Linked DNA regions of Elephas maximus indicus. The protein of the gene in region 1 interacts with the protein of each later gene in a pairwise test. Links are inferred from orthologs where the notes say so. Each region holds a gene or a part of one and is shown in the gene's direction. Other genes may lie near its edges. The genes, in order: SORBS3, KIAA0408, SOCS7 and CPNE2.

Region 1 (7,553 bases):
TTGTTTTGATACAAGGGATTAAGAATTTAATGGCCAATTAGGTAGTCTTTTCTTTAATGTTGATGCAGTTAAGGAAAAGGTTCATCATAGAATTCAAGGAGGTGGGAAGACAAGGTTATTCTTTGTTTAGAGGCCAAAGCACTACCTCATGGTATCCACTAGTCAACACATTAGCCCTCTTGTCTTATTATCTCAGTATACCTGAGCTAGGAAAGAAGGATGATGCAGACCTAATTTTCCAACTCCTGGTTCTGTGCCCTTCTTTGTGGCTGAGTTGACTTGGCTGGGTTTTCCCTCTGAGGTCATCACTCATTTATCCTTCTCGTATAAAATCTATTGTCTAAAGAGCTGACAGCCACTTGCTGTTTCCATCTTGCCTGAGAACTAAAAGCGGTTCATACAGTTCAGTTCTTCTCAAAGGCAACAACATTGTGCTTGTTTGCTCATCTATAAAAAGAGGAAGAGAGAGACCAATCGTTGATGTGATGTCAGTGTAAAGGCTTCCTTGGGGATAAGCTAGATACACTGGCCAACAGGCTGAACTCTCTCACAGCCTTCAGGGTTTGGATTTGATTGACTCTGAGAACCCTGAATAGATGCCTGTTACAGCATGCGAACGCTATGGAAAGATCTGTGCAAAGCAGGCCTGAAAGCCTCATAATGTTACTCCTATGGGTTTCCACGCACTCATCCTGGCTGGCCTAACACTGACATACTTGACCTGTATTGTGTAGCTTTTCACTCTCAGAGATCCCTCACTTCACAGTGACTACCCCCAAAACACTTGGATTCCAGATGGGCCAGGCTTGGAAATAGCCCTTTCCTCCTCTGCCGTCTCCTGTTCCCATGAGTGGCTGACACAGACAACGGGCATCAATAGAACTTGGCTGGCAACATAAGCAGGCGCTAGAATCAGAGGAGGACCAGGAGAGAGGAAAGGAGCCCAGGGGGTGAAACAGTCCAGATTTGTGCTCGTACATCTGGTATGACTTTATTTCAGTCCCTCACCTCCCCTCCAGAGAAGACCAAACTCCTCCAAAGGGACAGCACTTTCTTTCCTAACCCATTCTTGTCTACTTGCTGAGTTCCCCTGGCAGGAAGAAAACACTTTTCTGAGAGCACAATTGAGAAACCAGCTCAAAGCCTAACTGAAGAATATGCCAGGGCTCGTCTGCCCTTCCTTTATCTAATACGGGGGACTGAGGCACAGAGCTGGGGAGCCTCTTGGTTGAGCAGGGTGGAGCTCAGCAGTGTGACATGAATGCTAGACTTCAGCCCTGGATAAAGACACTCCCCAAGAAACGAGAGTCCAGGTTTACGTCTTCTGGGATCCCTTGCTTCCCTTTTCCCATTTGAGAAATGAAACTGAGTTCTCTGCTCTCTCCTACTCACCTGACCTTCCTTGTTACAAAAAAAGCTACTTAAGTGCTCTTTCCATTCATCCTTTCTCTGGCGACAGAGGTTGGTTTTCAGAGTGACCTTCATTTCTGTATGAACAGCCACCCTCTTCTCCCCCTCCGTGTGAAGAGCCACATCCTTTATTGGCAGTCTCTTGGCTAATGGTCCTTTAGAGTGGTGAGAATGGACAGACTTCTGTTGACATGGGCGCTACTGGGGGATAATCCACAGAACAAAAGGCGGCAGCCTAAGGGGTGGGGAGGTGGGGGACAGAATACTGGTGACTGGGATCAGATTGCTAGGGAAACAGAGCAGTTATGTAACTGTGTTTACTCTGGCTCAGGTGGCTCTGAGAAGGCAGAGGGAGCCTCCTGACAAAAGGCAGTGCCATAGGTGGAGAAGAGGCCGACTCACAGGGAGGGAGGTCCCTGTTGAAAGATATAAGGGAATCCTGCCCAGGAGATAGCACATTGGGATGAAAGGAATCTGCTCTGTTGTTGACAACAGCTAATGTTATCTAGGACGACCTTCCCTATCCTCAGTCTCTCCCTAGAAAGATGCCTGCTGTGGAGCTAGGCCAGCAGCAAGTAGAGCTGAAGCTAGAGGGAGAAGTTGAGAAATCAGACACCTGGTTCTTTTTTTTTTTTTTTTTTAATTGTGCTTATAAATGAAAGTTTACAAATCAAGTCAGTCTCTCATACAAAAACTTATACACACCTTGCTATGTACTCCTAGCTGCTCTCCCCTTAATGAGACAGCACATTCCTCCTCTCCACCCTGTATTCCCCGTGTCCATTCAACCAGCTCCTGCCCCCTCTGCCTTCTCATCTAACCTCCAGACAGGAGCTGCCCACCAGATACCTGGTTCTTGGCTGAATCCCTGGACCTTGCTACTTTTTTTCCCATCATTCACAGTTTTCCAAGGAGACGAATTTTTCTCCCTAAATATGGGCAGAAAAGGAGGAATTAGCCACACAGTTCCTTATGTCTTTCCTGCGCTATGCTCCCACCAATCTCTCATCCTCTCTTCTGTGAGGTCAGATGGGCACCATGGAACACAATGGGGGGATCTGGTCATAGACCCTCCTTTGTCTAACAGAGAGCCTAAGACTCTGGGAAGGAGAGTGTCCACTGGTGCCAGGGCAAAGCAGGTTCTGACCTGAGAGAGAAGGTGGTAAGCCCGGAACAGGGGCCTAGCGAGACAGGCAAAAGTCAAAGCAGCTTAGGAAAAAGGCTCAGGTCACCACCTGGGCCTGTCCCGCCTCCTCTTGCAAAGCTGTTTACTGGACTCCCTATTCCCATAGTGATGAAAGTGGTAGCCAGTCCCCAGCTCCTTACCGATGGCTGCCACCTCCCTTTATGACAAACAGGAAGTTGGGACCTTTGTCAGCTCAGCTGCAACCTCTGTTAAATATTTATCTTGGAGTCCTGGTCAGAGCCCTAGAAAGCAAAGGAAGCTTGCTCCTGGGGAGAGAGGGTATGGCCAGGATTCCCAAAGTTGGAAGATCTTCAGCGTCACCATCTTTGGAGAACAAGGAAAAAAATGAAAGTGATGTGGTCCTTTCTAGTCCCACGGACCCTGACAGGTAGGAAAAACTGGTGACTAGGGAACATTGATTCCAACTCGAATAGTCGACTCCAAGTCATAGCGACCCTATCTATAGGACAGAGTGGAATTGCCCCATAGGGTTTCCAAGGAGCGCCCGGTGGATTCGAACTGCTGACCTTTTTGGTTAGCAGCCATAGCTCTTAGCCACTATGCCACCACAGTTTCCAAGGGAAATGAGCACATAGTTTGTCCCTGAGGGAGGAAGCCCATAGTACCTAGGGGTGGTAAGTATCCAAGTTTTAGGGGAGGGAAAAGGCACGGCTGCCTCCCCTCAAACTCTTCCTTGGAAGCCTTGGATCTGCTTCCCTATCATTTACACCCAATGGTCCCACTTCTGCTCCTAGACCCACAGTGCAACCACTCTACTTCCACGTGGCAACCCTGCAGGTACTGGAAGATAGCCAGCATGCCCTGTCTCTCCTAAGTATCCCCTCAGCCTAAACATCTCTTTCAGCTGTTTTCTATGGGACATTGTTTCACGCTCATTCTGGGCATCCTGATTGAGCTCTTTCAACTGCATAGAAAAAATATAAAGCTAAAACGTTCAGGATGGTAAAGGTGGAAAGTTGTTCATCCCCTTCCCCACTCTCAACTTTTGAGTAAGTACTCCAAGGTGTATTGTGGCCTCAGAGTACAAACCTTACACCCAGTAGGTATGCGGTCCATGTTTACATGTTTTCAAAATCTGTCATTGTTCTGTCCCAAAAAGTATGTGGAGTTGCTCAGTTACTGTTGGATTGTTGGTTTGGGGCCTGGGGTCCCACAGCCAAGCCAAGAGCTAGAAGTACTCCAGCGTCTGTTTCCATTATCGATAAGCATTCATTAAGCATCCCCGCTTTCTACAACAGACCCTGTGCAAACAGGGCGGGCGGGGGAGGGGTGGCGTAGCCAGAAAGGTCAGGGAGCCCATGGGCGGGGCTCTTGGGGCTTGTGCCAGAGCAGCTGGAACAGCGGAAAAGCAACAAAATCAAAATAAATACGGCGTATGGGAACACCAAGACCCTCCTAACCCCATCCCGGCCAGAGGGGCCCCACCCTCATCCTATAGAGGCGTGGTGCGCCCAGTGGGCCGCTCCCTCAGGCTGACTTTCTCCCCGGGCAGTCCTCGGTGCTTGCACGTGTGTGAGCATCGGCATGTTTGCAGGCGAGTGTGTGTGTGTTTGCACACGTCCGGACGCGTGTCTACGCAAGCACAAAAATCTTTCTCCAAGGCCTTAACTCGTTCCGCTTTGCAGCTCTGTCTGGGAGGCCCTCGGCGTTCTCCGGCTTATCTTGGTCCCAGCCTGTCTTCATCTCTGGCCCGTCTCGGGCTTCTCTGAGGTTGCGGACTCCGTATCAGCTGCTGGCTCGACTCGGGCCCTGGGGCCCAGGGCTAGTTCTTGTTAATCATTCCTGCCCTGTCCTGGCTCGGCTGTGCAGCCGCTCCCTTCCCACAAGCTGGAAGTGTCGCTGGAAACTCTGAGTGGCCTTTGCTGGCTCCTCCGCCCCCTGTCCGACGCCAGCCCTGCGGTGGGGGCCGGGGAAAGGCAGCTGGGAAACCAGAGCAGGCTCCCCGGGGACCTTCGGGTGGCTCCTGCCGGCGCCGCCTCCCGGCCGGCCCGGCCTCCTGGGCCAGGAGCCACCAGCGTCCCCGCGGGGCGCCCGGCCAAAGCCCGGACGGAGGGCACTCGCACGCCCTTGGCGGGCTGTCCTCGAGCCCCCGCCCCGCGAGGCGGGAAAGGGAGTAGCCGGCCCCCCACCCCACCCCTCCGCAAACAGTCCAGATTGGAAACACAAACTCCGCCGGTCGCCCTCCCTCTGCCAAAGCTCACGTCCCCTGCCTCCCAGCGCGCTCGCGCTCGCTCACTGCCTCTGCCTCCTTCTTCCTCCTCGTGCGCCCAGCCTCTCGGAGCCCTGTCCTGACCCGGTCACGAGGGGAGAGAGCACATCTCGGACTTCTCCCGGGCCCCTCCCTAAGGGCCCGCAGCGGCCGCGCCAGGCGGGAGCCGAGCAGAGATGCTCCTGCCCTCCCAGGCGGTCTCAGTCCCCGCCACCTGCTCGCCGGGGAAGGTAGGTGCCGGCATGGAGAGGGGCGGGAGAGGAGGCGGAGGCCGCAGTCAGGGAGAGACCAGGGAGCCAACCCTGCCCCGCGCCAAGCCCAAAGGGAAGGCAGTAGAGCCCCTCCCCTTGGGGTCCTCAGAGGCTGGGCGTCCCAAACTCAGGGAAACTGAGGTGGAAAGAGCTTGGAAGTTCCTCCCTCCCGTCAATCCAGAAAAGGGGAAAGTTGAGAAGTCCACGTGGACTTGTAGCTGGACCTGGAAAAGTGCGTAGGGCCAAGACCCCAAGGTCAAAGCAGCACTTAGAGATGGGAAGGTGTTTGCCAGCCGAAGTAGAAGTACCGCATCTCTTCCAGCTCTTTGGAGCTGGCTGTTTGGAAGGAAAGGGGCTGGATGAATTCTGGAAGGACACCAGAAATGTCCAGGCACCCTCTGTCCTCTGCCAGATGCAGGTCCAATTCCCCTGGGTGCCTCATCGTCCCTATGAAAAGCCCTCCCCAATGTTTCCTGGCAGGGCTTCGAGGAGAAAAACTCAGACTACCCTTCCCATCCCCACCTCTGTCTATCCCTGAAGGTTGGGCCAGATGGGGGTGGGGTGGCAGGCAGGCTGAGGCATCAAGGGTCAACAACCCCTGAAAACTCAAGTGGTTGGGGGGCACCTCCTGCCCTCCATCCACCACTCTACAAGAGGGCAGTTGTCACTGAGTACAGAGTGGAATGGGGAGGCTGGGAAAGGAAGAGTCTGGTCAGCTGACGGGCAGAGACTGCAGATGCTGACCAGGCAACTTGGCCTCAAGCAGTCAGCTGGACAGGGAGGGGTCCCTGCTTGGACCTACCCTGTCCTGGGCCTCCTGACCTCCCACTCTCCTCTGCCTCAATTTCCCCACAAGGAAGAGAGCAGTGGGGGAACTAGGATGTGTCTGCATGTTTCGCATTTGATAGGAGTCTTAATGGGATCCAGCTGGTGAGCTGCCCCTCCTCCAGTCTCAGCCCTCCACTCCCCACAGCCACGGAAAAGCTAGATCCCCAACAGGCCACTGCTCGAATGTCAGAAGGAATCCCCCCAAACTCAGACCAGAGACAAGGAGCTGCCCCCAGCTTTGTCTGTACCCTTGCCAACCCCCCCCAAGGCCTGACAACCAGTCACAGCCCCTATGCACCCTCATCTCCTCTGGTCCCCGCAAGTCGTGTGCTGCTCATATGACCACCCACTGCATACACACACCCACATACAATTCAGCTGACTCCCTTCTGTACCCACAACCCATGCTGCTCACATGATCCCCACTGGTGGCACCCCCACAAGTCAGAGCCACATCACTCCACCTCCATTCCCATCCCACTGGCTGCCCTCCCCATGAACCCCCACCGACCCCACAGGCACACACAGTCACACTGAGCAAAAAGCCCAGAACTAGTCTGGCCCCAGAAGGTAGTGGCCCAGTCCAACAGCAAAGGTGAGGTGGGACAGCCTCCACACCAGTTTCTGGGTAGAAGAGCCTCATTAGACACCCTGACCTGAGAACCTCCTCCCTGTCCTCTTCCACCCACCCCTCTGAGTTCCCTTCCTCCATTTCCATCTCCTGAATGCCTGGAGCCCCTTACCCCTGACCTAACCTCAGTAGAACCTGGCTGGCCAGGGAAGATCCTCCATCCAACAATCAGTCTGAAGACATAGGAGGAAGTGTGTGTGTGTGTGTGTGTGTGTGTGTGTGTGTGTGTGTGTGTGTGTGTGTGTGTGTGACCATGTGCAAGAGAGCACCAGGGAATACCCTCCAGGTCCACCTTTCCTCTCACCGGCTACTTCTCTCCACCCCCTCCTCACTGCACGCTGAACCTCTGAGTCCTCAGTCTGAGGGAAGGGAGATAAAGGATGGAGCTGATACTCCCTTTGAGCTCAGAAGGAGTGGTTCCTGCTGCCTGGAAATGCCCCCCACTCTACCCCTCCCCGGAACCTTGGCCTTGTTCGGGTTTAGGGTGCCACCACTGCTTCCCAGCGGGCAGTGGGCGGTGCCCTTGCTGTTGGCCAGGGCCTCTCCCCTGGCCTGAGTTGCTCCTTGTGCCCGCTGGCAAGCAGATGCTCACTCAGGGACTGGGGGAGGCAGAGGGAACTGAAACAAAGTCTCATATCCCCCTACCCCTCTCTGCCAGTTGCCCCAGTTCCCCTCTGCCTTCCTCTGGGGGAGCAGGCTGTGCTATGCAGTGAGAGCCCCAGAGAGGCTGCCCAACAGGGCGAAGGCCGGAGCTTGGTCCTGCAGACCTGCATGCCCAAGGAGGCTTTGTCCAGCAAGCCTGCTCCTGGCCAGCCTTCCCTCCTCCTTGCCCAGGCCTCCCCCACCCCCACTCCCACCAGGAGCTCCTGCCCAGGGCCTAACAAGCAGTCCATTGTGCCTATGGGAGCTGGCACAGGCAGCCTGCAGGCGGGTGCCCACAGTGGCCTGTTTCCTGGGTCCTGTGGGCTCCCACCCAGCTGACCCCAACCCCCTCCCAAGGTTTTCCCCTCCTTCCCA
Region 2 (7,842 bases), on another chromosome or scaffold:
AATTTGTTTCAAGATTGTTGTAGGCTACTCAGGATATAGGCAGGCATACTGCAGGTCACATTTCAGGCATCTTCAGAGTTGTTTTAGTTACTGAGAACAAGGATTTTTCTGACCCATCTTTGAATCCCTGTAGTCGCACATTACACCTGGGACAGAGATGGTGCTTACAAATGCATTTGTTAATAGATGTTAATTGAAGTGCCAAGACCTCTCCCTAAAAATTTAAGATTACTTAAATTTCAAGACAATTCCACTAAACAGCTGAGATCATGTATCTTTACCCACTGCCATGGACTCAATTCCGACTCACAGCGACCCTGTAAGACAGAGTAGAACTCCCCCGTGGGGTTTTACCAAGGAGTGGCTTGTGGATTTGAACTGCCAAACTTTTGGTTAGCAGCCAGGCTCTTAATGACTGCACCACCAGGACTCCTATCTTAAAGTACTTTGAAAATTGCAAAGGGAAGACATTATTCTAAAAGATAGGATTACTTAAAATATAAGTCGCTTACAATAGTCTGTTAGCTTTAATATGCATGAGTTCAATTGTTCAAAAGTAATTTTTTTCTAATGTTTTGAAGATAGAAATAGAGTACCCCCCTTATTGGTAAATATGTTTAAAGAATAAAGGAAGCGTGACTGAAAAACTATATAAGCAAGAAGTTAGATCCATTTAGCCTCACACAGAGTTAAAGTGTAAAGAGATTAAATATATAACTGTTTATGATGCTTCAGGATCATCCTTCAGACAGAATATTATAAATTAAGTGCTTACTGGCAAAGTAGCTGCATTTATCACCAGATTTTTTCAACCACCCACTTAAAATCCTTTTGTGTCTGTAGTTTGACCCAGTATTTATATTAGCCGAGGACACAAGCCTCTTTAGGTAAATAGTAACCAGGACACATACTCTGCTTTATGACTCCTGTGTTATACTTGGAAGACAGCATAGAGTATCATCTCCCTCATTTGGACTTAGAAGAAAATGGAATTTTAAATTTAACAAAGCCAGAAATCAGCCTCTCACTGTCTCCTCACAGCCTGAGTTCTATTCCCTTCTCTGGAACTCCTTGGAATTTTAAAGTTCATGGCACTCCACTAGGAATGAGAAGACCTGGATTCTATTCCTGGCACTGCTAATAAGTGGCTTTTTGACCTTAAGCAGTTGACTTAACATCAGGGCCTCCTTCCTTAGCTGTAAAATGAGAAGTTTGGCTAGATGACTTCAGAGGTTCTTTCTGACTCTGAAATTCCACAAGTATGGAAACACTTGATAGTGACATTTATGAACTCATAATCTCTCACCCTTTCCAAAATATTTTCTTTGTGGCTTAATATCATTAATAGAGAATTTTTCAAGCCCCTTTCCTGAATTTTCTTTTTTGTTTCTTAATGACATCTTGTGTTTCTGCATTTATTTTTCACTAAGTATTCTTAGGTACATTTGTTTACATATTTGTTGTACATTGAAATAAAATAAGCATGTCATCAGGCATAAATGTTTTAATTCTTTCTGAAACAGAGCAATAATTTAGATCAACTTCTGTTTGAAGGTTTAAAAGTTTAAATGGTTTAAAATTATCCTGGATTACACAAACAAATTGCATTTTTCCGTAAGGATTTCAGCCATTCTGACAGCTGCCTGAAAATGTCAGGAAGTTCAACATATCTGAATATCATTGTAGGGCTGAGTTTATAAGCCTCAGTCTTTAAATCTATTCATTTTATGTATATAACTCTAGGAACTTATAACAAAGTTTTTAAAACAAAAGTTTTTAGGGAGAAGATTGAAAAACACCTGTACTGAATATTTATTGCTTTCAGATCCTGTCTTCTAACTGGGTTATTTTATGACTTCCTTTCAGTATGAAATATAGCATGGAAATGTTAGATAATATATAAAAAAGAATTATTTAACAACCAGTGTTGGTAAGTGTTAGAATAAGTGGTAGATTTGGAGTAAAATACTTGTCAAAGCCTGCCCTTAGTTTTTGATTCTATATACAGTTTAAGATCAACTTTACCAAGAAGCAGATGAAGCAGATGCATTAAAGAACCCCGAAACATGCTCAAAAAGGACATTAAAATATCACCATTTAGTGACAGTGTCAAGAATGGCCCAACATAATGTCTCCTATAATTTAGCCACATACTACCTGGGTTTATGATGGGATTTGAAAAACAGCCTTAAATAGATTTATAAAGAATACATAGAGCTTAAAAGTTCTGGAATGGAAGAGAAGGTAGGAGGAACAATGCGTAAGTCTGCATCGATGCTGTTGGAGAACCCACTGTCCCTCCCCCCAGGATCTTCCTCCTTTCCAGGTAAGGGTGGAGGCAGAAATGAGCACATATTTATTGTGTTCCTAGCACTGAATATATTCCTTCATATTCTTACAACAACCTCATGAAGTAAATGTAAATGTCTCCTTACAGGAGAAACCGAGGCTCAAAGATCACACAGTTACGTGGTGGCAGTAGAACTGAAACTAAGATCTCAAAATTCCAAGGAGTTAATTACAGTTAGAGAAATGGGTTCCGAGCCCTACTCCACATGGGTGCGTTTCTATGAACTTTGGCAAGGTACTTCTTTAAGCCAAGGTTTTATCAATAAGGTGCAGTTAATAATAACTCCAAACAGTTGCTATGAAGGTAAAATGTGATAAAGATCTAATCTAAGTACTTAGCACAGAGCCTCAAAGAGAGTTGGTCCTCAATGAATAGTCACTATTATTATACATGTATTAAAGTCCTACTGTTTGCAGATTGGAAACACTGGTGCCATAGTGGTTAAGAGCTACGGCTGCTAACCAAAAGGTCAGCAGTTCAATTCTACCAGGCACTCCTTGGAAACCATATGGGGCAGTTTTACTCTGTCCTATAGGGTCTCTGAGTCGGAATCAACTTGGTGATAACAGGTTTTTGGTTTGGTATGCAGATTAGGGAGCCCTGATGGCACAGTGGTTGAGTGTTTAGCTGATAATCAACAGGTCATTGGTTGGAACCTACCGGGTGCTTCCCAGGAGAAAGATGTGACAGTCTGCTTCTATAAAGGTTACAGCCTCAGAAACCCTGTGGGGCAGTTCTCCTCTGTCCTACAGGGTCACTATGAGTTGGAATCGACTGGCCGGCAGTCCTTTTTTTTTTTTTTTTGTATCCTTTACTCAGTTCCCCCCAATGGTAAAATCCTGCAAAAGTATAGAATAATATCACAACCAAGATATTGACATTGATACAATCCACGAATTTTGTTCAGATTTCCCCAGTTTTACTTGTACACATTTGTTTGTGTGTATGTTTCGTTTTATTCAATTTTATCTCATGTAGGCTCGTGTGTCTACCACAACAATCAAGATACAGAACATTTCCAAGGATCTTTCCTGTTGTCCTTTCATAGCCACAGCCTCTTCCCTTCTGCTCTCCCTGTCGTCAATCTTGACAACCACTAATGTGTTCTCCATTTCTAAAATCTTATCCTTTCAAACACATTATATAAATTAGATGCAGTATTTAATCTTTTGGGCTTGACTTTCTTCACCCAGCATAATTCCCTGGAGATGCATCAGGTTGTTGCATCTATCAATAGTTCACTTCTTTTTATTGCTGAGTATTGTTCATTGTGACGCAGTAGTTAAGTGCTTAGCTGCTGAAACCAAAAGGTTGTTGGTTTGAACCCACCAGCCACTCTTCGGGAAAAAGATGTGGCGATCTGCCTCAAAGATCTATAGCCTTGGAAACCCAGTGGGGCAGCCTACTCTGTCCTGTAGCGTTGCTATGAGTCCGAACTGACTGTGGCAATGAGTTTTTGAGTTTGAGTGTTCCGTGGTATGGATGTGTCACAGTTTAACTGTTTATCAATTGAAGGACATCTAAGCTTGTTCTAGTTTTTTGGCTATTGCGAATAAAGCCACCAGGGACATTCATTTACAGGTTTTTGTGTGGATGTAAGTTTTCATTTGGCATCTCATTGTTCAATTAGCATTTCCCTGATTACCAGTGAGGTTGACGAGCTCTTCATATATTTATAGATCATTCATGTTTCCTCTTCTGAGAAGGGCCTATTTTGCTCGTTTTGCTATTGGGTTGGGTTTGGTTTTGTGCAGATTACTATTTTGACACTTTTTAGCCTCCCATAGAGTAATTATCTTGAAGCAGGCACAGATGTGAAAGTGAATATATAATGTTTTAAAGATCACACAGAGGAAACCATTCTGACTTGAGTATGTTGTGAGGTGCTATCAAGTTGTTTTCGACTCATAGTGACTTGAGGATAGGACCTTATTATTTAAACTTTACACAGCATATTTGCTGAATTAGATTTAAAGTAGCTGTAGACTTTTTTTTTTTTTTTATAGACTTACCCTGGTGGAGTAGTAGTTAAGTGCCACGGCTGCTAACCATAGGGTCAGCAGTTCGAATCCGCCAGGCACTCTTTGGAAACTCTATGAGGCGGTTCTACTCCGTCCTATAGGGTCGCTATGAGTCGGAATCGACTCGAGGGCACTGGGGTTTTTTTTTATAGACACTAATCGAGAAACAAGTACACAAAACCTAGAAATGTTCCTGGGGAGGCAATTCTAACATTTCCATGGTAGGCCAATTTGGTCATGGCTCAGGAAGCCTTTCCACACATTTGGGCTGCCTTGTTTTCCTGTTTTGGCAGTAGCACACCTTAGCTGAAACAAGCACATGGGTACCTAGTTTATTCTTTCCTCCCAAAATAAGCAGTATCATCCCTTGCCATGGTCCTGATTTCTTCTAACCTAAAGACATCACCATCATTGTACATACAGGCAGCTATAATAGACTTCATAAAGAGCTATGAAGTCAGTCTTTATATATGCCCCATTCGTATTTTATATAAAGACAGAAGTTTGTTAAGCTTTCAAAAATCTTTTGAGACACACACACACAGAAATTGGTGCGCATGTTGTTCTGCTGTGCCCAGTGGTAAACTCCTATCGGCACTGAAGAGTGCGTCCCAAGGCTAGCCAAGGAGGGGAAGGTGCGAGGTATGTCAGGAGGGGTGGATTCTTGTCTCTAAAAAAAGGAGTTTACTTTTCCTAATGAGAAAGCTAAAGTTGGCCATTGTCATTGTGTGATATTAACACCAGTCCTTCTGGCAAGTTTGAAAATACTGGGCTCCATTATAAAAGTTAAAAATGTCCTGGACCTGGAGTTGTTTACCCAGAGCGTGAGCTGCTCTAAAGTTACAGAGCTCTGGTTGGAAGAGGTGGCTTGAAGGCCGCCTCCGAGTAACTGACGTCACAGCAGTTTCAGCTGCTGCTGTGACACTGAGCTGAGCAGCTTTTTGATTTGCGAAGCTTTCAAAAGGACTTGTCAGTACTGCTCTGTTGAATGGTTGTGCTTATTTAGCATTCCCATTTCTTGTAAAAAGGCAAGATTAACCGAGCTGAGACTTTTCTCTTTAGGATAACTAGCTATCCTTTCTACTTCCTTCCATTGCTAGATTGACCAGTGGTCGAACGTGCATGGGATTTTTCCCCACTGCGAACAGGTATGTTTTCTTTCTGGAAGTTAGAAACCAAGTGCCTAATTGTGGCAGAATATAGAGGGGTAGCTGACGTGTTTCAAAATACGGGTACTGTTTGAGCTGAGGGTTATTTCAACATCTGCCTGTGTCTCTGCGTCTGGTTTTAAAAACAGCGGGGCGGGGTACATAACGGATTGTACTGACTCCTGGGGACGAGGCGATTCAGCTGCTGAGGGTGGATTTCCCAATTCTGTACAGAGTGCCGTCTACTCTCTGAGCTTGTATTTTTCAAACGCTGCTTCTCAGCACTTCGAACAATACTTTGTACACAGATTTCACTCAATATATTTATTAGAATGAAGAGTTTTTTTGAATTTGCAAAGTGACGTGTGCAGCCCTGGAGATTGCTGGTATTTGGAAATCGCAGTTAATAAATAAATAAATGTAGTTTTATCCAAGTTTTAAGAGTTTGCTCATTGCATGATGACAGTTTCTGTAATTCGAGTGCCATTCATTATGGATTAATCTCCTGCAGGTAGAAGGGAACCATACCATCACATCTTCTTTTGTTTATGCTCATTAATTTTAGCTATTTGTTTTCCCAAGACAAAAGCATCTTTCAAAACTTTTATTTTATAAGCTAACTAGAAGTAAAGCTAGTGCCCCAACAGCTTGGGTGTTTTCTACTTGGAGTAAATAAACAGGAGAGAAAAAGAAGGAGAAGACAATTAAATGAGGAGGCAAAATTGATTTCTTTGGAAATTCTTCTGGTAGTGTCTGCTTGACCTTGTTTGGAACATGAGGAACATGCTGAAATTGCAATAAATAATAATAAAAATGTTTCCTTTTACCCAGTAACAAAATCTAATCATGGTAGTCTTTAGAAGGATGCATTTGCAAACAAAAGGGGAAGAACAAGGTTGGTTAATTAGTTGAAATGATGCAAATGATTTATAATATCCTGGAGAAATGGCAAGAGTATTTTGGAGGGAAAAGGTGCATTACTCCAATGGATATGGGCATGGGAATCCCTAGTTTAAAGTTAAGCAGAAACAGAACCTGCCCAGGGCAAATGATTCCTCCAGGAATTGTAAGGTTGGCAGCCCCTAGTGTTTGGCATTTTTATTGGAATATATATAATCATCTACATTTGAAAAATCTTCAGTTATATGAAAAGTAATATGTTTAGAAAAAGGAAATAAGAGAGCAATAAACAAGTACTAGGGAAAAAAAATCTCAAAAGCGAGACGTAGCTATTAAAAAAAAAATTAATAATTTTTTTTTAAAAAAAGCCTTCCCTAAAACTCTCTTTCATTGTTTGGCTAACATTTAGTTTTCAATGGAGAAGATGGAGGTCAGAATGGTAACCATGGAGACATAGTAAGAATGAAGCACCCTTCAGATGAAAGACTTAGCATGACCAAATTGAAGCTGATTTGGGGAATGAAAATAATTTGTCAGAACCCTGACTATGTTACTCTTATGTTTTGCTCACTGGTAGGGCCAGAGGTTAGCAGACTGACTGTTTTTCTCCCATCACCATACTAACTCAACCCACTCACAACTCTTTACAATTCTGGCTTCCAACTTTGGGGAGGGGGAGGTAGGTTAAAAGGAACTACTTAATGCCAGCATATAGTTGTCGTAGACTACTTATGTAGTTCACTCTGTCCTTTACACATTAGCTCTAACAAATTTTTATTCTGAATGAAATTCTAAAAGTAATGAAATGGAGAATGAAAGCGACATAGAGGGTAGGGCACATAGCAGAAATCCTTCTTTCTCTCCCACATAGATGCCGATATCTGTGGGAGAAAAAAGTGGCAGCTATGAACAAAGAGAAGGGTTGTGTTTGCCTCCGTAAAGAGCACTGAAATTGAGTTTTTGTCTGCTGGACCAATTCACCCCGTAACTTTTCATTACAGAACATTCTATTCCTACAAAGATGCCCCTTCAATTTAATATTTTTTATATTTAACATAGCATTATAACAAAAGTAGCTTTTTAAAGATTTGTCTATTCAAATTTTTGCTAACAATAAAAAAGCTGTTCTCTAAATACTTGCCATGTATCCTTAAAGTACTTGAAAAATACTGAGGCCAAAGGAAAGTCATTGGAAATAAAAGAGATTTCAAACAGGTGAAGACTTGCTTCTATAAAATTTCTAATGAAAGATCAGCATAAGTTGTGTTCTAGGGAAAGAAAACATTGAGGGAGAGGACAAATAAAGGGAAGGAGGGAAGGAAGATAGGAGAAAAGGAGGGAGAGAGGGGCATGATAAGAAATCAAGAAATGGACATTTATCGAGCACCCACTGTGAGCCAGAAGAGTGTTAGCACTTTTACGG
Region 3 (7,009 bases), on another chromosome or scaffold:
TGAGTTCTCTTCTACTTCCCCCACCCTTTGATATCCAGATCACTGAGTGCATGTAGGAAGGAATGGATGGTGTTGCTGAAAACTTCTCATGCTTTATAGATGGCCTCTGCAAACAACAGTTCTGCTGTGGAATCCTAAGTGTGAGGATAAGGGCTGGGGTTAGAGGTCAAGCCCCCAGGAGAATCCCTGCTATGTCAGAACTAGAAGGGCCCACAGTCCAGGCCTTTTTCTAATAGAAAGGAAACTAAAACCCTGAGAGGAAGGTGACATCCCACAAAGCTAGTGACTGGCACGCTGGGGATCTTCCTTGACGTCTCTGATTCTGTGTCTAACAGAGACAAGGGATGAAGAGGATTCAGTGACCCAGTCTACCTTCCTGCTATTACTGCTTATTGGTAGTTGAGGGTCAACAAAACACTGGGTGAAGATATCACACTAAGTTAACACGATTTCCCCCTCCCAAAAGCTTTTCATAATATAGTGAAATTTGTGAGAGCTGGAACTTGATGGGACTGCCTTGTTTTTTCCGGGTCTTGAAAGTTTTCCACCTTTGACAGGGTGCAGTCTTGCCACTTTTCTATCCCTTGTTTTAGTGGAAAATATTTGAGTTTTCCTTCTCTGACTGGTTTCCACCTTACACAGGTTACAGCTTTCACAGGTTTACCGTAATCATGACCATATGTATGGTGTTTTAGCATTTGTTAAGCACCTTTACATATAATTTTTCATTTAATCCCAACAGCCCTGTAAGGGCGGGGGGGACTATTACTGAACCACTGTTACAAAGGAAACACAGATACAAAGATGTTTAATTATTTGCTCTTGGTTATACATCCAGGAAATGGCATGATTAGGACTCAAACTAGACTGTGCAAGCTCCAGAAAAGCAGAGACAGTGTCCATCTCACTTATCACTGCACCCACAAACCATAGCCCACTGGGCACTGTAGGTGCTCAATGAACGTTGACTGACTGAATGAACCTCAGAACTTCTTTAGATTCTCTAAGTTGTTTTTCACGCATCTTTCTGACTAGGATCCTACCGCTGCTGGGACCACTTTACAGCCCTTAATGAAAGTGGTATGTATAGACATAACAAACACACATTTAAGTCATAAAGCACAAAAATACACTTCCTTTGCTTAGAGCTTAATTTTCAATGCTTTTCCCAGGACCTGGGCTACAGGCTGGAAAATTAAGGAAATGAGAAATGCCGCATTCTTTACTCAGCCTTTGAAAGAGCCCGTGTGTGTTCCCTGGTGGTGCAAGTGAAGGTGGTGGACATAGCTTTCTTCTGCGGCCAGGGAAGCAGTTGGACAGGAGAGGGCGGTGCAGAGCCAGAAACCTTGCCTTTTGTCAGGGATTCTGTTCTTGGGCCAGAGCTTCCCAGAGACAGTCCGGGATCTTAGGTAGCCTCTTAGGCTTCAGGGGTTCTGAGATCCTACAGCAGTTGCTCTTCTTTTCTGCTAGAAACCTAAGTAACACCTGACAGGTAGCAGGGGAGGGAGGGTAGAGAATGAAATCTGTGGAGTCAGAGTCAGGCAGAGCTGGTTTTGAATTTTACTGCACCTTTTTTTTTGTTTGACCTTAGGTAAGTAACTCTTTGAACTTCAGTTTCTTCATGTGCACGGAAAGATATTCTGTTGTGCAGAATTAGACATGAATTTGTATCAGGAGCCTTTTGCAATGCCTGAAGTTGAACAACAGCTCCATACTTACCTATCAACGGCCTAATCTGCGCCAGGCACCGTCTTTGACACCAAAGGCTCCATGATGGGCAAAAAACAAATATGGCCCTTGCCCTCATGGAGCATATAGCTTCATAAGGAAGACAGACTCTCATCAAACAACCCCATGGAAAGAAAATAAATTGTTGTGGTGTGCCTTTGAATCGATTCTGACTCATATTGACCCTATAGAACAGAGTACAACTGACCCATAGGGTTTCCTAGGCTGTAGTCTTTACTGAAACAGATCGCCAGGTCTTTTCTTCTGTGGATTGGCTGGTGGGTTCCAACCTCTGACCTTTTGGTTAGCAGCTGAGCCCTTTAACCATTGCATCACCAGGGCTCCTTAATGACAAATTACACCTGTGCAATTAAATGCGACAAAGGAATGGTCTCTGAGCTTGGTGAGGAGGAAGTGCCCAGGCAGGATTTCCCTGAAGAAGTAAGAAGGGAGTTCAATCTGAAGAATGAATGGGAGGTGACTAAGCAAAAAGAGAGAAAAACCTTCCAAGAAAAGGGAACAGCTTGCGCAGTGGCCATACGCCTGGGAGCCCGACACAAGGTTGGTGGGACTGCAGGAGAGAGATAACAAGGGGGAGCTTGGTGGGAGACATGGCGAGAAAGAGGCAGGGGCCACACAGGGCCCTGTAGGCCGATTTAAGGAGTTTTGTCTTTATCCTAAGAGCAATGGGAAAACAGGAACTGTTGTAATCAAGGGGTATGAATAAATTTTCATTTTGAAAGTGTCCCTCTCGCTGCAGGACTCAACCCTCTTCCCCTTGCTGCGCCCCCAGGTACTTAAGTTGCTAAATTCTGCTGATCCTTCCTGCCTGCTTGCACTCCTCTTCATCTCTCACTGGGACAAGTGCAGTGGATTCCTGACTGCTCTCCCTGCCTCCAGTCCCACCTCCTTTACCCAACAAGCTTGATCTTCCTTAATCCTTGTAACATTCCTGCAAGTAAGCAAAACAGCAATCTTTATCTGTTTTACCGATGAGGAAATTGAAGCCTGGTGGTGTTCGGGAACCAGCCTGTAGCATTTCATGAAAGCCAACTGTTAAATTTTCAGAAATTCTTCAAGCTGGTTGTTAAACATAGCCACTATAAAATTATATAAAATTACAATGAAATAAATTAAATTAAAAAATAAAGATGATAAATTCTCAAAACTCACCACTTACTAATTATTTTACTATTATCTATGCTTTGGGGTTATTTATATCCGTTGTATGGTGGCACTATTATATAATGGTATGCTATTTGCTCATTTCTTCCTAACTCTGTTCAAAAAAGTCAAGCTGGTAGCTCAAAAGCAGCCACGGTGGGCGTATTTATACCAGGGAAATCAAACAGAGATACAAATCGAGCTTGATTTATTGTTTTGTTGATTATCTAGATTGAAGCAAAGGATGGAGAAACTATTAATCATTCAGATTTAAACACAGTATCATACTGAATTTAAACATAATGTCATGTTAAATTTAAACATAATGTCATATGGTAGCTGTTACATTGTGAATGGCACAGAAATTGAGGAAATCTTCCTCCTGTATTTGAACCCTTGCTTTCTGATTCAGCAAGGCGGCTCCCATCACTGACAATCCAGTCATTTTTTTCTCCACTTCCATTAACACAGAAGAAAATGTCAACCAGCATTCACGCTACAACTATACTCCTTGATCAACTGCAACCATAGGTTGGTTACCCATTGCAATTGTATGTTATTTCTCAATTTTATACCACACATCCTTTATATCAGTAAAATTTATGATGAACTTATATACCTTTGTATGCATACACTCCTCCACCAGAGAACCGGTTATTGAACATGATCAGCACACCCCTGGGTCTAGAACACATATATTCATGTTATCATTCAACAAATATTCATTGGCGGCCAGGGGTGAGGAGTGAGGGAACGGGGAAACAAATTTACGATGAAGTGACTCGGCCAAGGTCATACATCACAAGCGACATAGGCTAGACCAGAACCAGAGGTGTTCCCAAGGCCAGCGGCTCTCTGCCGTGACCAGACCAGCCTTGCAGGGCCGCTGCACCTTACTGAGAGGGCTAGGCAGAGCCCCAGCACCCGGGAAGTGAAAAGCAAGGGTCGAAGCAGACGACCAACAGCCAGCATGGAGGCAGCTCACGTCCAATAGCGGCCCGGGTCGCCCGCAACGTCACGCGCCGTGGAGGCGACGCGAGCACGCCCTCGAGGAAAAAGGCGTGCCCACGGCCTCCCGGAAGTGACGCCATCGGGGGGCGGTCCTCGGTGGCGGCGGCGGCGGCGCGCGTCCTGGGCTCGCGCTGCGCTCCGCGCGCCCCCCGCCCCCCTCTATGAGGCAGAGGCCGCGGCGGCCGTTCGCGCTGTCTCTCCGGGGGCCGCGGCGGGCGGGGCTCCGGCGGGGCCCGGCCTAGTCCCCACCCCAGCCCGGCTCCCAGCCGCCCGCCCTCCCTCCCTCTCCCCGATGCAGGGGGCCGAGCTCCGGGATGGCGAGGCGGCGGCGGCCGCTTCGTACCGCGTCCTGAGCCGCCTGCTCGGCTATGGAGAGGCGGCCCCGGAGCCAGGCCCGCCGCCGCCGCCCCCCGGCCATGGCCCCCAGCCACCACCTTTCCTCGCGCGGCCGGGCCCGCGGGGCTCCCGGCCACCGCAGCTGATGGTGTTCCGCAACGTGGGTCGGCCGCCGGAGGAGGAGGACGCGGAGGCGGCCCCGGAGCCCGGACCCTCGGAACTGCTGTGCCCCCGGCACCGCTGTGCTCTGGACCCCAAGGCCCTGCCGTCGGGGCTGGCGCACGAGCGGACCTGGGGCCCGGCGGCTGGACTAGAGGCACAGTTGGCGGCTCTGGGGCTCGGGCAACCGGCGGGGCCGGGGGTCAAGATGGTCGGTGCGGGTTGCTGCCCGTGCCCGTGCCCCGCGCAGCCGCCCCCTCCGCAGCCTCAGCCGCCTGCTGCCACCCCGCAGGCCGGGGAGGACCCCACGGAGACGAGCGACGCGCTGCTGGTCTTGGAGGGCTTGGAATCCGAGGCCGAGAGCCTGGAGACTAACAGCTGCTCGGAAGAGGAGCTCAGCAGCCCGGGCCGCGGAGGAGGAGGGGGCGGCCGGCTTCTGCTGCAGCCCCCAGGCCCCGAATTACCCGCCGTACCCTTCCCGCTGCAGGACTTGGTTCCCCGAGCGCGCTTGAGTAGAGGGGAGCAGCCGCAGCAACCTCTCCCGCCCCCGCCGCCTCCGGGGCCCCTCCGGCCACTCGCGGGTCCTTCTCGGAAGGGCTCCCTCAAAATCCGTCTCAGTCGCCTCTTTCGTACGAAGAGCTGCAACGGTGGATCCGGCAGTGGTGATGGGACCGGCAAGAGGCCTTCTGGAGAGCTGGCTGCTTCAGCTGCGAGCCTGACAGACATGGGTGGCTCTGCGGGCCGGGAGCTGGACGCGGGGAGGTGAGACCGCATGGGGAACTGGCTGACAAACTTCCTTTTCTTGTTTCATTTCCTCTTTTTTTCTACTGCTAACAGGCGCTCTGCCAATTCGTAAGATTTGGTGTTCTGGAGGTGGCAGAGACTTAGGGCTGAAGATGGTGACAGCTTCCATTAGGTCCCTTTGGAACTGGTGGAAATTGTGGGAACAACTTTAACCCTTGAGTTCACACCTCATGATGTTTCTCAACTGACTAGCAAGGTTTGAGTCTGGAGATGACTTGAAACCATGCACCCACCCCGTTTCTTTTTCTTTTTTGCTTTTCCAAATTGGGTATTACAATTACCCCTGGTAGGGAGGTTGCTGTAAACGTTTGGCCTTTGGGGCAGAAAGCTGGTGTTGCATGTTGACCGCCTTGCTTGTTATTCTGTCTGTGTACCAGCACTTCACCCCCTTCCTCACTCATGCATACAGATGAGGGGATGAACTTGGGCAGTTGTGGGCCAGTAATCAGTTGGGCATCTCTACTCAAAGTTAATGCTTTCTGGCTGTCCCAGGCTTTTGTGTGCTGACCAGTGTCTGTGAGAATAGAGAATAGGTTTGTTCTCAAGCCCATGTGAGAACTCTCAGTATGAGGTATAGACATTAGTACGTCAGCTCTAGGGCAATTGATGAAAATTCCAGACTTAGACATTGAGCTGCTTGTTTTCCTGTGTTTCTGAAGCGTGGACTGTTCTCACACATCCAGTATTGGTTTAGAAAGCTGTCAACTTTTGTGTCGATGAAATGAGACTTCCCTTGTGGTAACTGCCATTGTGGTTTGTGCTTTTGGATGGGTTCTTAGATTTGAATTGGTGTTGGTGTGGCTTATGTGATAGATTCCCGAGATGTCTTGGCAGCCACAAGCCCGGGCTAAATAACAGGATGAATAAATTGATAACCTTACTGTGCAGTAGAATCACTTGGGGGGGGGGACTTTATGAGATCAGTATGTCTAGGGCTCAAGAATTTGAATTAAAAAAAAAAAAAACCTCCCAGTTGATCCTCCCCAGAAGTATGACCTGGACTGGGAATCACTCATCCATGAAATTCTCTTTTCAAGGGAACTTGGGTCCTCCAGGAGGAAGGTGTGGGGTTGATTTGCCTCTGTTGCTCCTTCTGAACAACTGTGCCCTGGGCTCATTCTGGGTGTCAGACCAAACTCAAACTCCCTAAAGAAATCGGTAGGTCGATGCTTGTTGCCGGTTCAGGTAGGCCAGTATTTCTGCATTTGCCTCCCACTGAACTCATGCTGGGAGCTCAGGTCTTGAAAAGTGTGTGGCTGCTGCAATAGCTTTTTTGTGGTAGGCTCTGCATTTGATGCTCCACTCGCCAGTGGGGATGAAATTTTCATCAGATCGGGGGAGGATGGGATTGAAGCTATGGGTAATGACATAGGTTAGATTGCTAATTTTCTTGTGGTTTGCATTGCCTTTGTTCCATATTGACCAGGACTTGGTCTAGGATTCTAGAGACTCCAAATATGAGGTGTGACGTGAAATTAGCTGCTACGTCTAATAGATTAGGAAGAGGAAAAGGCATATAACATTATACGGTTTTTTGCCTTTGGAAGCAGAATTTAATGGTCATTGGTTGCTCTGTCACCAACCTTCATATTGAGCACAATACAGATGTCTGCCGCAGAGCAAATTGGGCTGTAGCTCTGCAAAGAAGCTTAGTTCAGGGCACTGGAGAATTACATTTTTTGGTCCAGGGGCTTTTTCTGATGAATTGAAGAAGAGCTAGGTATTTGTGTACAAACGTTTGGTTGACTGCTGTTAGGAGCCAGCATGTTGTGTGGAGAATATAAATGTCCAGATTCCATTTGGAACC
Region 4 (7,568 bases), on another chromosome or scaffold:
CCACCACGCCACCAGGGTTTCAACCAGGTACCAGGAGTTGTATTAATTTGCTCAAGCCATGAAACCACATCTGGAATAGCAGCTGCAATTGGAGTCACCAGCTGGTTAAGTTTATGATAATCCACTGTCGTTCTCCAAGATCTGTCTGTTTTTTGCACAGGCCAAATAGACAAGTCGGCTGTGGATGTAGTGAGAATTACCACCCTGCATGCTTCAAGTCCTTCACGGTGGCAGTAATCTTTGCGACTCCTCCAGGAATACAGTATTGTTTTTAGTTTACTATTTTCCTAGGTAGAGGCAGTTGTAACGGGTTCCGCTTGGTTTTTTCTACCATAATAGCCTTTACTATTATGTCGGGGATCCAATGTGGGGGTTCTACCAGTTGCTGAACATGTCTATTCCAATTATGCATTCTGGAGCTGGGGAAATCACTACAGGATCGGTTCAGGAACCCACTGGACCCACTAAAACTCCACTAATAAACTGATCTGCATATGCCCCGACTCTGACTGGTGGGCCACGGTGATATTTCAGGTCTCCTGGAATTAGTGTCAGTTCAGAGCTAGTGTCCAGTAATCCCCAAAAGATCTGATTATTTCCTTTTCCCCAATGAATAGTCACTCATAAAAGGCCATAGATCCTTTTGGGGAAGGCTGGGAGAAAGATCAATGGTATAAATTTTTGACAGTTTAGTAGGGTGCTTCTTCAAGGGAAGCTGGCCTCCCCTTCATTCAAGGAGTTGTGGGTCTAAAACTAGCTCAAGTCTGGAAATTGATTGAGGGTTATGACTCTCTATTCTAGCAATTCAAGGTAGACTGCTGTTCACTTGACCTAGAATTCTTCTGCTTGTACAGATCAGGTAAATATTGAGTAGGTTTCCATCTATTTCACTCCTGGGGACACCATAACTAAGTAGCCAATGCCACAAGCCCATACAAGTCAGGCAATTCTGATTACTGCTTTGACTCTGCCGTCCATTATGGTAACCACGCCCACCTTGTCTTTGTTGATTAAGTGCTGCTGCTTGGCCTCTACCACCATGGGGTCCAATCAATCCCATGGTAATTAGGTGTCTTATTCAGTTAGGGCAGTCCCCACTGTCAAATCGGATGTACATAAAATAGCATTCACAGCAGTCTTCGAGGATGCTGGGGCTCCCTTCACAATTTTTTCCCTCGCCATTATGGTAAAAGCTGTGTCCTCTGGGCACTCCATGGATGCGTTGTGGGTCTAACCTGATAAATCTACTCTAATATGCCAATTTCCCTAAGCCTTTGGATATCTTCTTCTACCATATACCAAGGCAGGTCTAGCCCCTCAACTTGATTTAGTGTAGGCCACAGCTTAATCCATGCTTCAGTGAATGAACAAAAAAAAAAAACCTATTAGATCCTTTTCTAACCTCTCAAGCTGAAACATTGAATGAGGGATCTATACTTACTGGGTCCATATCAATAAACTCAGACTGATGCAACCTTATGTTCCTTGCACTATTGTTCCACACCCTTAATAGCCATTCCCACACATATTCCCCAGGTTTCTATTTGTACAAATTAGAAAAGTTAAGCAGTTCTTTTGCAGTGTAGTGTACCTCCCCCTGGGTCACACTTTGTACTTCACATTTTGGGGCTCGCTGGAACTTAAGCCTAGTTATAGGCCTAGAAGCAAAAATGGGTGGTGTGGGTGGGTCCTGGGAACATTCAGCGATGCCCCAGGCAATGCCCCAGGTGCCACCCCAGGTGGTATCTCAGACAAAGACACTTCAGGCACGGGTGGGTTAATCTCGTCTAATGAGGGTGAAAAGGATAATGGTTTTCCTGGGGAAGGTGGCTTAGCTGACAAAGATGAAGTAATCTCTTCAGATGGGAGGGCTTGTTCTGTTGGCAGGAGTGATTCAACAGAATTTAGGGGTTTGATGTCTCCAGTTCCCTGATTATCAATCATATTGTCCTCATCCCAAGTTTCAGGATCCCATTTCTTCCCAGTCAACACCCTCACTTTAACTTCAGACACCATTCAAATTGTCACTGTAATTCAGCCACTCTTACAATAAGACTCTGGGTCTGGTTTTCGGCAATATCAACTCTGTTACTACAAGACATAAGGCTTTCTTTCAGGGCACAAGTGGCAACTTTGACGTCTTTTATGTGGCACTTGAGTTTTGACTCTGAAGCCTTCAGCTCATCTCTTTCTTTCACCACTTTGTCTAGTGAAAGTAGGACCAACCAACCAGCTTCTGTATAATTCATTCTGACAAAATTGTAGAAAAGTATCAAATATGCATTCATCCAGATTCTTGCCTCTAACTGATATGTGATCTATCGGTAGTGATATTTTCTGTATTAATATCACCACCTCATTCCACGGATTAGCAGTGCCCTCTTTACTACTGGAGACAGAGTCATCAGTGCCTTTAAGACTAGTCAGACTTGAGAACAATTTAGAAAACTCATCCTTGTAATTTTGTTTCTTTAGAACCATCCTTGGTACCAAATGTCTTAGTTTGGGTTCTCTATAGAAAACTAGTAAATTGTATATATATATATATACGTATATATAGAGAGAGAATTTTATCTCATAGAAATGGCTCACATGGTTGTGGAGGCTGGCAAGTCCCAAAGTCCATGGGTTAGGCATCAGCTGGAGGTTTCTCCTGACTCACACGGTTGCAGGGGCTGACACACCCAGAATCGGCAGGTCAGACAGTAGGCTGCTGGCTCACAGGACTGCAGACCTGGCAAATCCCAAAGTCAGCAGATCAGACAACAGGCTGTTGGTTCAAGTACCGAGACCAAGAGGTCAGATGATAACAAGCTAGAAACAGGATCCAGAGCAAGCAAAGGAGCTTTTCCAGAACATATACATATAGTACAGGCCACACCCCTGGAGAAACTCCCCTTAAAACTGATTGGCTGATCTCACCTTGGAGGTGATTACATTATATCATAAAATGGAGGATAATTACATAATACTGAGACTCATGGCCTGGCCAGCTCGGTGCATAACATCAGCTAGCACAAGTACTTTATTCCTTTTAATGGTTGAATAATATTCCATTGTATGGATATATTACATTTTTATCCATTCATCAGTTGATGAATATTTGGGTTGTTTCCACTTTTTGACTATTGTGAATAATGTACAATTTTTGTATAGACACATTTTCATTTCTCTTGGGTAGATACCAAGGAGTGGACAAAAGGTCGGCAGTTTGAATCCACCAGCTGCTCCTTGGAATCTCTATGGAACAGTTTTACTCTGTCCTATACGGTTGCTGTGAGTTGGAATCGACTCAACAGCTATGGGTTTACGGGTGGCCTTTGCACTCTGTCCCCTTGGCCAGGGATCTAGTATCACCTTGCCCCTAGCCAGGCCAACTCTCTTATCCTTCAGGTCTCCTAGAGGAAGCCTCATTGACTCCCATGGCTGAGCCGGGTCTTCTGTGCTTCTGGGCCACCCCACCTCCAACTTTTGCACTTTTCATGCAGTAGTATGATTGCCTGAACCCCCGTCTCGCTCCATAGAGGTGAGCAACTTGAGGGAAGGTGGCAGTCTGTTTGGGTTCGCCACTGCCTGCCCCTGTGCCTGGCTCTCCTACTGCTGGAACAAGGAGAGGAGAGGAATTCTGGGGCCAGAACAATCAGGAAAGGCTTCCTGGAGGAAGTGAGGCTGGAGCTGGGTCTAAGAACGCCTATAGGTGGGTTTTTGCCCCAGAGCTGGGCTAAAGAATCTGAGAGAAAGAAAGAGGAGAGCTTGGAGAAAGGAAGTCACCGGGGACAGACAGGCAGAGAACAAAGCTCAGAGCCCTGGGGCTGTTTAGTGGTTGCCCCTCTAAGACTGCAGAGTGCCTGTGACTCAGATGTGGAAAGAGGTTTGCAGCCCGCAGTGTGAGTCTCCCATGTTAACCCTCATCTGCCCAGAAAGAAAAACCCAAGATAAAACCGTGCTAGGCGTTAACTCTCAATTGCCCAGTCTGCAAGCCCCAAGGCCAAGTGCTTTGGTCATACCCTTGGGCAACTCGGAACAGCCCTACCCCCTACCCCATGCAATCAGCTTAAACAAGGCTTGGCTGTCTGACGCTTTCGCATTGGACTTGCCCTGGGCACATAAATACCTCCGAGTGGCCAGCAGCAAACGCGCCAAGCAACAGAGGCATTTCTTAAGAATGGGTGCCTCTTCTAGGGAAAAAGAGGCCTTCACAGAAGGCTTCAGGGCCTCAAAGACCCGTCTAATTGCCCTCGCACTGGAGAGCTCTAAGCCCCGTTCTGATCGACCGTTGTTATCTTCTGTCAGAGAAATATGTGTCATCTTCCCAGCCCCTGGTGGCAAGAATACGCCGAGCTCTTTTGCTATGGGGTGGGGGGGACATGCATAAAGAAACAAAAAGGGGGGAGGCAGGGTGAGAACACTGCCGTCTGAATGAGACCGGATACCGCCCAGAACAAAGCCGAGTAGTGTATCTCCGAGGGCGCAAGGCTGCGCTCATCTGCCCTCGGGGTCGAGGCCTCAGGCGGCGGCGAGGGACCCCCGCAGGCCTGGGCCAAGCCCACCCCTCGGTTCCCTCGTCCGAGGCTCTGAGGCTCCGTAAGGGCTGGCCTGGGAGGGCGCGGACCCTCGGCGTTCCGATCCACGGGGTTCCAGCCTCGAACCTCCGGACCCCCAGCATTCCGGCCTCCAGCGTCCGGGCCCCCAGCATTCCGGTCTCGAGCGTTCGGGCTCCTGGATCCCGGCCTCGAGTGTCCCGCCCCCCAGGATTCCAGCCTCGAGCGTTCGGGCGGGTCCCGGTGGCGCTCGGCGCCCAGAGTGCCAGGGCGCGCCAGCTGCGGGCGCCGAGAGGCAGGCAGCGGGCAGGACAGCGCCCCACTCCGCCCGTGTGAAGAGCGCTAGTCCCTCCGGGAAGCTCGCGCCTTGTCTCCCCGCTTCCCTCCCGACACCGGCCCCCCCCTCGGCCGGAGGGAGGAGCCCGAGCTGCCGCCGTCGCCCGCCCGGCCCGGGAGGAGGATCGGACCGCAAGCGGTTGAGAGCGCACGCTAGCGGGCCATGGCCGCGCGGATAGCGCCCTGAGCCCGTCCCGCGCCCGCGGGCACGACCGAGCAGGGGGAGCGCCCGGGGATGCCCCGGCGGCCCGGAGCGCGAGTAGCGGCAGCCGCCCGGTGAGGGCGGCGGCCCCTTCGGGACCCGCGGTGAGTGGGGCCCGGGCGGGCGAGGGGAGGGCGGGGCGCCCTGCCGCAAGTGCTCAAGTTCGGCCTTGGGGCTCGGCTTTTGGCCGCAGTAGCGGGTCGGAAGGAAGCTGGGCTCCGCTGCGGGGGCTGCGACGCCCCCAGCCCCCGCCGCTCTTAAGCATCCGGACTCGGGCTCTTGGGTGACTCAGCTCCGACCCGGCCACGCGGGGGCGCTCCGGCTTCCCCCGGGCTGCGGGGGAAGGGGGGCCGGGGTGCGCCGGGAGGGTGGCTCCTTCTCGGGTCTGAGTCCAACCGTTTTACGGACCCTCCTGCCTCTCTCAAGAAGCCTGGAGGGCGTCTAGAAGGTAGCGTCCCCGCTGCCACCGCAGCTGCTGACAGCCTGAGGTCGGGGGCTTCAGGCAGGCGCCGGCCCCTCTCTGCGCCCCCTACCCTCGTTCGGTACTCCCCTCACCCCTGTTTCAGGGAATGTCCAAAGGCCAGCTCCTAGCCCGATAACGGAAAGCAGAGAGGGGGAGTGGAGCTGGGAAGCTTCCCAGAAGTCGATGTGTGTTTGCAAACTAGTTTTTTTTTTTTGCGCAAAAGCTGTCTGGCACCTGTGTGTTTAGAAATGGGTGGGCATGGCGAAAGAGCAAGGCCCTTTCTTTCTGTTCCCGCAGCGCTGCTGGTCTGAAATAGAGCGATCTCACTCTCACCCTCCCTTCTCTTCCCACCTCATCCACTGCCTCGGGCCCCCTCCCCCAATTCGGCAAGCTCTTCTTTGGAGGAGGGGCTCCCTTAGACAGGCGCCTTAATTTGTCCAAGGTCAAGTCACAGGTGGAACTCGAACCAGCTCTGGTAGCCAGCTGGGGGTTCATTTTGCTGTCTGTGCCTCACTTGGCCTCTTGTGTACTGGAGAAAGTGACAAAGATAAGGGGTCTGGGAGAATGAGCCGCCCTTTGTTTTGGCTGCCCTTAGTTTCGGCTTGCTTAGGGGTGTGGACTGTCACTGAGGGTGGAAGCTTGTTCTGCCCTTTGGGGCATCCACAGCTTCAGTGACAGAGGCCAGGGAGACCTTTATAAGAAGGAAAACAGGCATTTTTTCCCCGGTTGTAACCTTCCTGGGCAGTTGCAGCCTCCCTGTGGGGGGCCGTGATGGGGAACCTCCCTTGGGAGACCTCGCCCACCTCTGACACCAGGGGTCTGACCCAGCCTCTGTCTGATCCTCAGGGTCATCATCTGTAAAATGAGCTACTCCCTCAGGGCCTGCCTGCCTGGGAGCTGGACACAAAAACATAAAGGAGTGATTTTATTGCAAATCCCCTGGCATGGGGCCTAGTGAAAGAGGGGACTGCCCCAGGTGGGTGATGTAGTCTGCTGGGGTGGGAGAGGTCATCCAGGCAGGTTTCTCCATGGGAAGAACCAGGGGCTAAGGCTGTGGACACCTGGGGACACTTGGGTCTCTCCACACTCTGCCACTTCCTGCCTACCATGCCTTGCCACCCCATGGGCTTGAGCTTTTTCCATCTGTAAATTGAGGCAAACCATTGCACAATCCAGCTTGCAGGGCTGCTGGGAGGCTCAAACCAGTGGGTGGGGGCAGGCATTCTGCAAAGTGGGGTGTCTCCTGTGGTATTTCAAGGGATCCCCCAAAAGGCCATGAAAATTAAAAGCAGTGGCATGAGTGAAGGCCAGGGATAGAAGCTCGGTTTCTACATCTGTACAATAGTGTTAACAATACTCTGTGTACCATGCTAAATCTTTTAGGGTCATTGTATATTTCTTTAAAGGTAGTTGGGAGGATTAAATTAACTAACGAAGGGCTGTGTGCCAGCACCATGCCTGGTACATGATAAAAAAAAAACCAAAAAAACATGATAAGCGCTCAGTAAATGTTAACCATCATTATTCATGGGAATATTAGTAAGCCCGACGGGGGTAACTGCATTCAGAATTCCTTCTGGGATTTTCTCAGGGCAACCTGCTCCTCCCTTCCTGCTTCCTTTCTGGAGAGAGAAGCCTCAGAATGCAAACACCACTGACTCTGGCCCGTTGGTGACTTCTGGGCTGCTCTAGGGGCAGGAGCCTGGTGGAAAAGTTTACCACACCCAGGTGTGGAGAACACCATGGGTGGCAGGTCGGGTCTGGGTGCTCCCACCCCTCCACCTTGAGCTGGGGGCAATAAGGAGTGAACAGAAAACAAAGATCACCCTCTAATGATTCCCCTGCTCCTATCAGAGCTGGGACTATTCTCTCCAGGCAGGGTCCCATCCTGAGCAGACCCCTAGCCCAGGGCCTGATGGAGCTCCCCCTTCCTCTCCCCTCCGCTAACTCTGGGACTGCTGAGTCAGGAGGAAAACATTTCAGGAATCCAGCCCCCCCTTGAAGAATGTGGCCTCAGAAAGGCGGC

The links.
Region 2: the proteins of SORBS3 (region 1) and KIAA0408 interact in binary tests that used the Homo sapiens proteins (3 or more experiments, as listed by UniProt). The two-hybrid records come from large-scale screens. The link is inferred for Elephas maximus indicus from reciprocal best matches to the Homo sapiens genes SORBS3 and KIAA0408.
Region 3: the proteins of SORBS3 (region 1) and SOCS7 interact in binary tests that used the Homo sapiens proteins (3 or more experiments, as listed by UniProt). The link is inferred for Elephas maximus indicus from reciprocal best matches to the Homo sapiens genes SORBS3 and SOCS7.
Region 4: the proteins of SORBS3 (region 1) and CPNE2 interact in binary tests that used the Homo sapiens proteins (3 or more experiments, as listed by UniProt). The two-hybrid records come from large-scale screens. The link is inferred for Elephas maximus indicus from reciprocal best matches to the Homo sapiens genes SORBS3 and CPNE2.

Annotation. Positions count from the first base shown.
Region 1 is NC_064840.1:52,127,561-52,135,113, reverse strand, and holds the start of SORBS3 (vinexin), read left to right. Parts: upstream 1-4,544; 5' UTR 4,545-5,056; intron 5,057-7,553. UniProt on the Homo sapiens protein: Vinexin alpha isoform promotes up-regulation of actin stress fiber formation. Vinexin beta isoform plays a role in cell spreading and enhances the activation of JNK/SAPK in response to EGF stimulation by using its third SH3 domain.
Region 2 is NC_064819.1:195,510,259-195,518,100, reverse strand, and holds the start of KIAA0408 (uncharacterized protein KIAA0408 homolog), read left to right. Parts: upstream 1-4,838; 5' UTR 4,839-5,493; coding exon 5,494-5,519; intron 5,520-7,842.
Region 3 is NC_064837.1:45,971,202-45,978,210, forward strand, and holds the start of SOCS7 (suppressor of cytokine signaling 7), read left to right. Parts: upstream 1-3,991; 5' UTR 3,992-4,195; coding exon 4,196-5,160; intron 5,161-7,009. UniProt on the Homo sapiens protein: Substrate-recognition component of a cullin-5-RING E3 ubiquitin-protein ligase complex (ECS complex, also named CRL5 complex), which mediates the ubiquitination and subsequent proteasomal degradation of target proteins, such as DAB1 and IRS1.
Region 4 is NC_064839.1:24,036,239-24,043,806, forward strand, and holds the start of CPNE2 (copine-2), read left to right. Parts: upstream 1-4,563; 5' UTR 4,564-5,183; intron 5,184-7,568.